3 linked regions of the Ovis aries genome follow. The protein of the gene in region 3 interacts with the protein of the main gene of each other region in a biochemical or structural test. Links are inferred from orthologs where the notes say so. Each region holds a gene or a part of one and is shown on either strand. Other genes may lie near its edges.

The links. The genes of interacting proteins can lie anywhere in the genome.
Region 1: the proteins of RAB11A (region 3) and RAB11FIP4 form a complex in vitro, tested with the Homo sapiens proteins (2 studies listed by BioGRID, with this or other methods). The link is inferred for Ovis aries from reciprocal best matches to the Homo sapiens genes RAB11A and RAB11FIP4.
Region 2: the proteins of RAB11A (region 3) and RAB11FIP1 form a complex in vitro, tested with the Homo sapiens proteins (2 studies listed by BioGRID, with this or other methods). The link is inferred for Ovis aries from reciprocal best matches to the Homo sapiens genes RAB11A and RAB11FIP1.

Annotation. Positions count from the first base shown.
Region 1 is NC_056064.1:18,348,679-18,352,772, forward strand, and holds the start of RAB11FIP4 (rab11 family-interacting protein 4), read right to left. Parts: upstream 2,811-4,094; 5' UTR 2,796-2,810; coding exon 2,637-2,795; intron 1-2,636. UniProt on the Homo sapiens protein: Acts as a regulator of endocytic traffic by participating in membrane delivery. Required for the abscission step in cytokinesis, possibly by acting as an 'address tag' delivering recycling endosome membranes to the cleavage furrow during late cytokinesis.
Region 2 is NC_056079.1:32,239,986-32,243,998, forward strand, and holds the start of RAB11FIP1 (rab11 family-interacting protein 1), read right to left. Parts: upstream 2,811-4,013; 5' UTR 2,747-2,810; coding exon 2,370-2,746; intron 1-2,369. UniProt on the Homo sapiens protein: A Rab11 effector protein involved in the endosomal recycling process. Also involved in controlling membrane trafficking along the phagocytic pathway and in phagocytosis. Interaction with RAB14 may function in the process of neurite formation.
Region 3 is NC_056060.1:12,717,164-12,721,328, reverse strand, and holds the start of RAB11A (ras-related protein Rab-11A), read right to left. Parts: upstream 2,805-4,165; 5' UTR 2,698-2,804; coding exon 2,658-2,697; intron 1-2,657. UniProt on the Homo sapiens protein: The small GTPases Rab are key regulators of intracellular membrane trafficking, from the formation of transport vesicles to their fusion with membranes.

The DNA of each region.
Region 1 (4,094 bases), on a different chromosome or scaffold from region 3:
CAACAAGTCAGGATTATTCAAGTTGAAAAAAAAAAAGAACTGAATTAAAGAAAGAGAGACCTAGAGGTCAGAACAACTGGATGCAGTGCACGGTTCTGGTGAGGAAAGTGGTTTGAACAAAACAGCACAGATCAGCCTTTTGGGGCCAAATAGGGAAATCTGAATAAGTTATGCATAATAATTAAGCTGAGAATTTATTGGAGCAGAAAAGTGCTGATCATTTACTGGGAAAAAATCAGGTTACAAGACAGTATGCACAGCATGACCTCATTTTATGGAGAAAATTTACATATAAGCATAGAAACAGCTCTGGAAGGATGTGAGCGAGGTGTCACAGCGGGGCTACCTGGGGGATGGGAACATGGCACTCTGGTTTTTGCTTGTCCATATTTCTATTCCCACAGTGCATATAAACTGATTTTGTAATGATAGAAAATTATGCTTTAAAAAGAAAAATCAGGGCTCCATGTTCCTGATGCAGGCGGCATAGGATCGATCCCTGCTCAAGGAACCAGATCCCACACGCTGGAAATGAAGAACTCGCGTGCCACAAGGATAATCAAAGATCCTACGTGCCACAACTAAGACCCAGCACAACCAAGACCCTAAATAAACAAATACATTTAAAAGAAAATCACTGATCCTCCTCCAGGATAAAGGGGCATTTTGGCTTGGCACGGGTGGCTAAGAAAGATCCCAAGGGATTTCAGTGGCCAGAAACTTAACCTGAGGGCACCTCTCAAAAGACAGCCTTGCCCCCAGACACCTGCTGTGTGTGATGCGCTGGGGCTGGAACAGTCCCGGGGGTCCCTGGTCCAGCCCCTCCATGTTATTACTAGGAAAAGTGTCACACAGTTGATGGGGCTTCAGGGCTGGAAGCCAGAGGTTTGGCCCCTGCCAGGTCCTATGGAAATGGCCTGAGGCTTCAAGAATAGAGGGTATTTGGCCTGGAGAAGGGCAGATGGGAGGGAGAGAGGGGGAAGGGGACAGGAGTGCTGTTTTCACATATTTAAAGACTGCCACGTAGAAGTGAGACCCATGTGAGTCCCTGTGAAGAACCACAATGACTAAGTGACAGCAGGTTTGGCTCCTGAGTGTTAAGAGGCAGAAGCGCAAACAAGAGGAGCTGCTCAGCTCCGGGAGAAGGTGGGGCTGGTGAGGGGCTCACCGAGAGCTAACGTGGCTGCCTGCCAGAGCCTGCTGGGAAGCTCTTCCCACCATTGAGACCGTGGCTCTGGGACTCCAGTTGCAGCCAGGGCCAGCTGGGGTCTGCAGCCTGCCTCAGAGGATGGGAGGGGTCAGACCAGCCTTTGGGAAGAAAGATCAAGGGGCTGCAGGAAAGCGCCCTGAGCAGATCCTGGCAGAGGGAGAGCCTGGGTTCCAAAGGGCGGGCAGCAATGGGCCTCTCCCACACGTGGTACCTGAGTCCTCAGACTTGACACCTGCCTCATCCTCTTCTACCTACCGCTCTCAGGGACTCCCAGGCCCCAGCCCAGCCCAGCGACCACAAAGAGACGATTATCTATCATCCTTCCCCCTTGCCAGGTGACAGGGAGGCATGGATCCAACCCAACCAGGCCCGGGTTCTCCCATGTTCTGGAATGCTAGGCCCCAGCTGTTCCCGGAACAGAAAGCCAGGGAGTGCCAATGCAGAGCCAGAGGCCTCAGGTGGCCTTGGAAAGTCACTACTCAAGGTTTCGTGCCCTGACCATTTCAGAGTGGGCAGGAGCAGGAGTGTGGGATGCTCTCCTGCCAGGTAGGTGCCTTGCACATCCCCCACCACACACACATACCCACCTCTCCTCCATGGCATGAGAGGACACTGGTCTCTGCTCACCCTACTGGCAGCACCCACCCTCGGATCACAGCCCTGCTAACACTGTTCCTGCTTTCCCCAGATCCGCGCGGCCCCCACCCCGTTGCAGACACTGCTCAGCTGCTGTTCCCCAGCTTGGCTGTGGCAGGCTTGCTTGCCGCCACAGCCAGCTGCCAGTCAGGCCTGCCCCTCGGAGCCCGCAGGGTGCGGGGAGGAGGGGTGGTCACCAGGCGCTAGGCTGAGAATCCAGGAAGGCCGAAGGCAGACACCTCCCGCTAGGTTCCAGGCCGGCTGGGTGCAGTCAAGGGGCCGAGGCGGTAGAGCGCCCCTAGTTGTCCTCTCCTACCCTCGGCCAGGCCCAGTGGGGCGTGTGCTTCCCCCCTACTCCATCCCGCCCCTAACCCCGGCCCCCGTCCTGGGATTCCTGCACCGGACCTCTGCAATTCGGTCTCCGCAGGGCAGGCAGGGGAGGGGGTCCCAGAGCTAGAATCTGACGGTTCCCCCCGCCCCATATACCGAGTAGGCTGAAGAATGGTTAGAGGGACCCTCAGGGCCCGGGGTAAGCAAGGTGGGCAGAGAAGCCCCCCTGCTCCCCACTCCGGGGCGCGATGCGTGACACTCGCAGCACCTGCGCGAAAGGTGGAAAGCCAGGGTCCGACAGGGCGGGGAAGCCCCGGGGCTCGAAGTCCTCAGGTCCGGCGGGATGCCTCAGGGCTGCAGCCGCCGCCGCCGCCGGGGACTGGGAGCGGGCAGGTGAAAGGGCTAGGAAGCCGGGGGTGGGGGGACTGGGGCGCGGGCACCCCCGCCGCGGGGCCCTTACCTCCTCGCCTTGGCCAAAGCGCAGTCCGAGCGCCGCGACGCGCTCCACGCGCAGGAAGCCGTCGGGGTCGCGGCCGCACACCTCGAACACCTCGCGCAGGCGGCGCACTGAGCGCAGCAGAGCCGCGGGGGCGCCCGCCCAGCCCGCGCCGCCCGCCATCCGGGCCGGCCCCGCAGCTAGCCCGAGCCACGCGCCCTCCCGCCCCGCGCCGCCGCCGCCGCCGCCGCCGCCATCGCCGCGCGCCCTCCGCCCGGCGCTGCGACGCGCAGCCTCCGCCCGGTGGCGGCGGCGGCCGAGCCGTGTCAGCAGCGGCGCCGCAGCCCCGCGGCTCGGGGCGGGCGGGGGAGCGGGAGGCTGCAGACAAAAGGAGCCGCGCGCCTCCGAGGGCGGCCGCCCGCGCGGCCCCGCCGCCGCCGCCCCCAGGCTCGGGATCCCTGGGCCGCTCAGAGCTCGTCCCGTCCCCTAGAGAGCGGGAGGGTGGGTGTGCGACCCGCGCCCGGAAACCCAGGGCGGCCCCAAGGCTCCGCCCCTGCTTGGAGGAGTCCGCGAGGAAGCCCGAGCGCCCCCACCGGACCACCCGCGCTGGGGTCCAGCCGCCTCTCCCCCACCTCAGCCCCCCACCAGACGCCAACCCATCCCCGCTCACCGCGCCCTTTGTACGCGCCGGCGGTGCCGAGCGCTCAGTGTGTCCTAGAGGTTTCCTGTATTAGCGCGCTGGACTTGTTCCACTCGCCGCTGAGAAAGCTGAGACTCAGAGAGGTTGAACTACTTGCCCTAGGCCGCTCAGCCAGTCGGGGGCCAGGTCAGGATTCCTAGCCAGTCTGCAGCGGGATGGAGCTAGGCCCTCTACTCTTCCCCTCCTCTCTGCTGCCCCTTAAAGAATAGTTTCCAGGCTTAGGTCAGCACGGGCCTTCCCAGCAGAACTCAGGGCCAGCTCCGGGCTGGGCAAGGGCCGGGAGAGCGGGAGCGGGGACCCTGGGACAGAAGCGAGTAAGGGGAGACAGAGCAGTCAGGAGGAAGGAAAAGCAAGAGCTGCTCACAAGGCCGGCCTGGGGCCGCCCAGCATCTTGGGGAAGTTTCCTCCCTTCCCTTGAGTTCCCACGCTCACCCCTTTATTGCACCCTGGACCCTCAAGCTGAGAACCCGGGAAAGTCTTGGCCCTGGGGCTGATGGCAGCCTCCAGGCCTGTACCTTAGCCTCCTCCCAGTCCTGCTTAGCTCCCAATCCCTGCTCCTGGGACTCCCAGTTTCGCCCCCCGGCTCTGCAGAACCTGGCCTGGCTCTCTTCTCCTCCTTTTTGTTGCTCAGCATGCCTGGCCCTCGTGGCACTAGTTGTACCCAGCCCAAATGCAGGTCTTGGCTGAACCCACCCGCACTTAAGTTTTCCAGCTCAGTTCAGAGGTTTCCTCCTTTAGGAAGCCTTCCCTGACAGCACTCCATTTTGCCTGTTACTCTGATT
Region 2 (4,013 bases), on a different chromosome or scaffold from region 3:
ACTGAGTTCCCCCAGCATTTTGGAAAGTCCCAGGAAGCGACAGATGGAAAGCTTGCGATTTTGCCTACTGCTGGAGGAGCGAAGAAGGCTTCCTTTGTAGTTATTAAAAAATCAGCTAAGCACGGTTTTCCTACAAGCTGATATTGTGACTAAGTGGTCACAAGCTCATATAACAGGGACAGGAGTAATCACCAAGGTTTAGAATTACATCAGAGAGGATGAGAAAAATGAAGGCGCAGAGACTGAACCCTTCCTGAAATAGGGAACTTTGGGAGGTTTTCGTTCCTCCCAAAGCAGTAACAGGACCTTTTGAATCTACACATGGGGTTCCATTAATCCAGGAATCCAGAAACATCTTATAAATATCAGCTAAGTCTGGCCACAAGCTCCATCTGTACATGGGGAAACTTGGGTATTTAGAGACGGAGCATCCTGAAGCCCAACAATGAGTCAGGGCCAGAGTGGGCACCAGACCCAGAGATCTGGAATCCCTATCTCTATCAGGGAGATCCAATCTACTTTTCAAGGGAATAAGAAGAAACAGATGGTAGAGACAGACATGATATCCACACATTTGGGATGGGACAAGGCAAAGGACAGTAAATCCAAGGCCCCAAATGTCATTTAATCAAGCAGAAAGTTAGGACTGCTTCAGCCCCTGGTCAGCAAAGATGCTGCTGCTCACCTTACAGCTTGTAAGCTGATGCCACAAAAATACCCCATCCATCCTCACCTCTAGGCTCTCCCTTTTTATCTGATTCGAGCTCAGAAATGCCTGTTGATCTTTGGCTGGATAAAGGAAGCAGTGATAACATTTGCAAGAACCTACAGAAAAGAGAGTCTGGTAACATCAAATCTTCTGGCTCTTCCTGCTTCCTCCCCAAGGGAAAGTTAAAATACCATGTATATCTAAAACATACAGCGTGAATCAGAGTGCTTCATAAACCACAGAAATTAGGTGATAACATGACTAGCATATTTAAGGTCCAGCAAAGCAACCAATTAAGCTAAGCGAGGCTGTGTGTGTGTGTGTGCTCAGTCATGTCCAACTTTTGTGGGACCCCACGGACTGTAGTCCACCAGGCTCCTTTGTCCATGGGATTTCTGGGCAAAAATACTGGAGTGGGTTACCATTTCCTTCTCTAGGGGATCTTCCCCACCCAGGGATAGAACCTGCATCTCCTGCCTTGGCAGGTGAATTCTTTACTGCTGAACCAGAGAGGAAGCTCTAAGGGAGGCTAGCTCTGGGTATACCAGATGAGCATAATCAAATGTTCCATTCCAAACACTGAGAGAACACAAACCGGTAACAGTTCAGAATGCACAGGGGTTTGCTTTGCTTTCCCTAAAGGAGTGTGATACCCTAACACAAACATCGTAAGGAGGGAGGGGAGCTACAGGTGGGCAGCCATCCTGCCCCCTCAACCCCCTCCCCGCCCCACTCAGTAGGACCAGAGAGAACTTTGCAAACTCCAGAGCGAAATAAGGCCTACTTTTCAGTTCAACCTGGCCAACCGCAGGCCCTGGTTCCAGCCATCACTGGGAAATCCTTACTAATTTGGGGCCGAGGGCAAAAATGGTTAGTGTATTTCAGCCTGAAAGTTAAGACCAAACTGTTCTAGCATTCCTAGAGGAGGAGAGGAAGGAGGGAGGGGCAAATTCTCCCGATCGACCCTTAAGGCGTTGGTGAGAAGGGGGTAGGGGATAGCCCTCGCTGGACAGCCCCCGTTCCCCTTTCCCCACCCCTCACCCACACCCACCCAGCACAGTAACGCCCCCAGCTCGGCCCCTGAGCGAGGCTCTAGGGCTTTGGTGTCAGTGGATCTAACTGCTCCAGTTGGTTTTCCCAGCGCCCCGGCCCAGCCATTCACAGCTCGATGTCCAGTACAATGAAATACCCAGGAGGCTTTACACGTAAGCTGATGCCTACATCAAATATACACAGCTACTCAGCTAATAAGAGGAATTCGTCAGCCCACACATAGTTTCAATTCATCAAAAATTCATGAAGTGATTACTAAATGCCAGACGCTGAGCTCCGTCCAGCAGATTCAAAAAAAAAAAAAAAAAAAAAAATCCCCAAGTACCGGAACCCACCTACTGGGAGAGCCGGGGCAGGCCAGCCCAAGAAGAAGAAGCTAGGCGAGAATCCTAGAACCGGCCGAGCGGGTGGGAGGATTGGGGGGAGGGATTCGGGGGAGGGGGATTGGGGGGGGGGGTGGGGGGTGATTGGGGGGTCCCCCTCTGCAAAGGCGTGGCCCCGGCTGTCCCCTTGGGGAGACACATTCTGCAAGGGTCTCGGCGCTCCGGCCAGGCTTCGTGCTCGCTCCGCCCGTCTCCCCGCGCTCGCCACCCGCCCGCACACTCACTGGGTCCTCCGGCGGCCCTGGTCCTGGTGCAGCCCCCGCAGGTCCACCTCGGCGCGGCCCAGGAACTTGTCGAGGCCGAGCAGCGCGCGGTGCAGCACGGTGAGCTGCAGGGTGGCGGCGGCGGCGGGCGCGGCCTCAGCCGACAGCAGCGGCGGCAGCTCGAAGGTGGCCTCTTCGCGCCACACGGGCGCGCCCAGGCTGCGCTCCGACACAGAGGTGGCGTACTTCTCCTTGCCCACCTGGATCACCGCGTACGCGTCGCTCGTGCCCCCGGGACCCTTGGCCCTCAACCCCCGCGCCTGCAATACCGTCACCTGCACGTGCGTCGGGGACCACACGGCCCCGGGGCCCCGGCCCGCCGAGGCTGCCAGGGACATGGTGACGGTTCTGCGACCCAACCGAAAAGTAAGGAGGTGATCGCCGCGACCGGCGGCCTCTACCGCCCGGCCCAGTCGCCGCGGCCTCTTTAAGGCTTCCGGTCACGCCCCCTCGGTGCCCCGCCTCAGCCAGGCCCCGCCCACCGCCCCACCTGCAGGACCTGGCCGACTCCGCCCCTTAGGGCCCGGGTTGGGCCGCGCGGGCGGGGGCGGGCCTTGGAGACTTCTACCCTAAGGGGTGGTTGGTTGTGTTCGGTTCACTCTCAGTCGTGTCCGATTCTGCGACCCCATGGACTGCAGCAGCACGGGCGTCCCTGTCCATCACCAATTCCCGGAGCTTGCTCAACTCCTGTCCGTGCAGTCGGTGATGCCCAGAGTTGATGCTAAGAGGTGGAAAGGTGTCCCCAACGGCCAAAGGTCGCCCAGCCCAACCGGATCTGGCCGGAGCAGCGATTAGGCGAGGCAGACCTCATTTCCAGTCTGGTCTTGCCCTCTGGCAGGTGTTTGGCTTTGTACAGATTCCTTAGTTACCTTTGGGTCTCAGTTTCTTTATCTGTAAAATGAGAGAGCAACCACCTCAGAGATTGCTGTTAAAAAAAAAACAAACAGTCATGTTACCTGGCACAGGGCGAGTTCTCGATAAATGTTAGATATGAGGATGAGTGGTAAAGTATCCGCGTGCAGTGCAGGAGACGCAGGTTCGATCCCTGGGCGGGGAAGATCCCCTGGAGCAGGAAATGGCAACCCACTCAGTATTCCTGCCTGGGAAATCCTATGGACAGAGGAGACTGGAGTCCAAGGGGTCGCAAATGTGTCGGACACGACTTAGCGACTAAAGAACGAAAACAATGCGAGCGACTGCGAAGGCGATCCCAGATTCCTTGCTCTTCCTACTTTGGCCGCTGGGGCCATTACTCTGGGGGAAAGTCGGTCCGGGGAGGGTGTCAGGTGGGTGGCAATTGATGAGGATGTTCTGAAGCCCTGAAAAGGGGAAGCAGGGGGCACCTGTCGTGGCTTGGGAGCGTTCTACTTTGCCCTACCCTCACCAAATAAGGTGAGGCCGAGAGGCTAAGTCAGGGAAGGGGACTAAAGGAGGAACTGGAAATGGGATTGCCACACGGACCTCCTCGGGAGCAGAGGCCCTCCCTCCACCCCCACCCGCGCAGTTCCCCATTTCTCCTCGCTGGACCCTCTGCAGTCTCTCCTCGCTCTTTAACCCTGGGCTCTCGATCAGGCACTTCCTGGTTCGCAGTTTCCTTTAGATTGG
Region 3 (4,165 bases):
GTTAGAGCTACAAACTAATTTACAATTCCCTCAACTATTAAGTTTGCTAGGTTCTTTTTCCAAGGAGACAGCTGCAGCTCATCTCAGGGAATATCTACATAGCATAAAACCATTTAAAACTGAAATTATTGTTGCTTCTTTTTAAATTAAAATTGTATAAATAAGAAATTGGCTATATAATCATCAAAGAAGTTAAAAAGTGACTCATATCCTATTAAGAGCTTTTTTAAAAGTGGAAATCTTTCTCAGCAGAATTTTTAAAAACATTCTAACAGCAAAGTGTACAACAAATGAAACCAAAACCTGTGGAAATATAAGGTACTTTAGAAGGCTCTAGTTTTAAGTTTCTTTACTAATACTTAAATGCTCTTCCAGTTATAGATTTACGGTTTTAAGGAAAAAAAAAAAAAAACTTTTGAGAACCACAGTAACTTCTTTAACATTATCTGAGTTCTCAAAGAAGCTAAAACTTTACAGTCTCACTTAATTCTCACAACAACCCTGAGAGATACTATTTTATTTTTACAGATGAGAGAACTGAGGCTCAAAAGTCAGCTTTCCCAAGGTCACAAAGCAAATGTAAGACCTGAGGCAGTAATCTGAAACCAGGCCTGTGCCATTCCAAAGCCCTGGGCTTTCTCAATCATTGTTAGCAAAGTGGTCTAAACCCCAAAGCTAAGTTAAAATCCCTTAAGCCAATCCAAGGTACTAAGTATTTTTGGTGAGGAAATAACTAGGTTCTATAACCAACACTCAAGTTGTAAACCAAACAAGAGAATGACAGTCTATCTTGTCCTAAATTAATTACTTCAAAAGCAGCCCTTATGTAAAAAAAAACAAATCTCCCTTTAATGACTAAACCCCAGTCTCCAGGGTCTCACTGAAGTAATTTCACCAGACCTCAGAAGCCTTCAGCCAACAGTATGTAAACTAATCCATGTTTCTTTTTTGTATTTGTAAAATGATTAAGTACCCTCTTCTCTGTAAACAACTTCCCACTGTCAGGCGGTGGGAGTGGATACTGAAGGTACTCACTCTGGGCCAGAATTTCTGGCCCAGAAGAGTTAAGTGGCAGTAGGCCCATCAACTAGTAGGCCAAGGTTTGCAGAGTACTGGTAAAGCAATGTTTCCTGCTCTGTTTAGTCAACCATACTTAGCACCCAGTGGCAAAGTCAGAAAGAGTCATTAAGCTTAACATTCTTTTCAAACTCCACCCTTCACTGTAAAGCTTTAATAGTAATGGCTTCTTCCTCCTTGGTAATGATCTTTGTTCAGCATAGTACTGATGGCTGCCCTCCTAACTCAGGACCAGAGAAACAGCATCAGAGAGAGAGCATTCATCCAACAAAAAAAGCATTTACTGTACTTTCCTCTCAAGGAAAACTGTACCCATTATCTTTGTCGATTAAAAAAAAAAACACAAAACTATTTGGATTCTTTCCGGACTAACCAATAAGCAATTCTTTTTTTCACTCCCCATCCTCCACTATGTTTTGTCCAAGGGCACTACATGGTTCCCTATCTTATGAAAAATATTTAATTTGACCAAAGAGCACACAACTTCCCCATGCTCCCCCACCTTTGGGGAAAGGTATGTGGCCAACCAGGACGCTTCCCTTCCTGTTCTAAAAACACCAAAAGGCTGGATCCTCCCAGCGTTGCAGCAGGAAGCAACCAGTCCGTAGCGATAAAGCAAGCTATTTGTGCAGCGTACAACCTTTCCTGCTCAGGAACTGGGCCTTCAGGTCTGGCAAGGATAACAGCCACCACCCATCCGTATCCCCTAGTCTCGGACAGAGTCAAGAGTTATCCCAGGCTGGTTGCCTCTGGGTAGGGAGGGTAGGAGAAAAGAAGGCTGGGTGGGAAGTCACATCGGTCTGCCGGGTCACTGCGACAAGTGCGCGCGTGGGTGCTGGGACAATCCCTCCTGCCCTACCCCCCACCGCCGGGGTCGCACGAGCGACGTGGGAGAGCTCGTAAACTACTCGCCGAGGGAAGGCAGAAAAAGAGCTACCAATGCCGGGGGCCATGCGAGGTTTCGGGCCACGAGAAGTGTGGGGCGGGTGGGGGTGGGGCCGCCGACCCGCTCGGATTTTTAACCAGGGCCTGGCCCCGGGGATAGAAGAGGGCGAGGAGAGGCGGCTGTCCGAGGGCAGAGGAGGGTTCGCCCGAGGGAAAAGGGAGGCAGATAAGAAAAAGATCTGTATGGGAGAGTTCGCCTAAAGAAAGGTGAAGAACGAAGGGAAAGGCCTGTCGGAGGGGCTCAGGAAGGGTGTATACCGAAGGGGAGGGGGCGCTGAACCCGAAAACATGGATGGTGGGGGGTGGGCGCCCCATTAAGGGGGCCCTGGAACCCGAGGAGGAAGGAAAGCGATTCGAGAGACGGCAGTCGGCCGCGAGAGGGGCGCAGGGTAGGGACCGTGAGGCTTCCTAAGGCCTCTGGGGAGGTCGCTATGAGACCGCTGTGTGGTGAGGACCCCCATCCGTGAGTGGAAGGAAAGGGGCTGAGCTGGGGGACCTCAGGATAAGCTGCACAGAGAGGAAGAGCTGAGGAAGGCCGATCTCAGGGCAGGGGCAACCCGCGGGCGGGTCCCCCGGGAGTGTCCCGGGCCCCCAAACCGGGACTCCAGGGAGACTTCCGGAGCCCACAGCCTCACCTTTGAAGAGGTAGTCGTACTCGTCGTCGCGGGTGCCCATTGCGCGGCCGAGAAGCGAAGGGGCGGGAGCAGCAGTGGTACCGGTGGGACCAGGGGGCGTCGCTGCAGGGGTAACCCGAACGCCGAGCTTCAGCTGCCGGACCCGGTAAAGAACCCCTCCCTGCCGCTACGCCACTTCCGGCAGGCCCCCACCCATAGGGGGAAGTACTTCCGGGGGCGGCGCCCCGCCCCTCAGCCCAATAAAGGGGGCGTGCGCAAGTTTGTCGTCTGTTGTCCAAGCTTCCCGGGCTTGGAGGGGTTTCGAGTGGGTTAATGAGCACTGTACTCCCGGCTTACCTCACTGATAGAGGCTGCTCTCCATACATAATAGTCTCTCCCTCACTCCACTCGCCGCTATTCGGGGAAGTGGGGCACTGGAGAGCGCTTCAGCACTGCCTCTGGTGGTCGGTTTGTGGATGGGGGCGGGGTTCTCTAAGGATTAGAGAGTCGAAGGCAGGATCGTGAGCGTGGCGGTTCCATGGTGTAATGGTTAGCACTCTGGACTCTGAATCCAGCGATCCGAGTTCAAATCTCGGTGGAACCTGTATTCCTTACACTTTTGGTTTGGGTTTTGTTTTTTCCCTGGCCACGATTTTATAAGTCATGTACTTATTCACAAGGTGACTCTTGTACACCTGCGGGGTATATGTGTTCTTGAACTGAGTAGGGAGGGAATGCCACGAAACTCAGTTGCCTAGGAAGAGCACATGCATTTCCTTCAGTTCTGTACTCTGTTACCTAGGTGTCTCCTAAGTATCCTCTACACTTCACCCTTTTTGTTTTTTTAACCTCGGCCGTCTTCGAAAGCTTCCATGAAAAGTTGATTGCTTTTGTTAGAATTTTCAGCCTCCAACTTCATACGAGGGCAGGCACTTTCCACTCCTTCTCTCCAGAAATCTCTCAAACTGTCTCCAGATGTATTCACAGAACCTCGCCCACCCTCCTCATCAAAATTCATCAAGAACTTCTTGAACCCTATTTGTCACCCTTTAAGCTGAACCTGGTTACATAGTTATTTTCTTTAACATGCAGAGCAAAGGATGACAATTTCCATTTTTGCAGAAACGTGGATGGGGAGGTTCAAGTGATTTCCAAAGATCACACACCAGGGCCTCCCTGTATGTGACGAGACTTATGATGGCTCAGTGGTAAAGAATCTGCCTGCAGATGCAGGGGACTCTGGCTTGATCTCATTCCCTGAAGGAGGAAGTGGCAACCCACCCCTGAAAAATCCCATGGACAGAGGAGCCTGGTGGGCTATCCAGTCCATGGGGTCCCAGAGAGTGGGACACACTGAGTACATAAGCACTATGTTTATGCCAAAAAGCTGTACCCATTTATTGTCAAACCTCACTACACCTGTGTGCAATTTAAGTTTTCATCAAGGGTGCCTGTAGTAAGTAGAATAAAGGCTCTCCCAAAATGTCCACATCCCAATCCTTGGGACCTGTGAATATACTAGATTATGT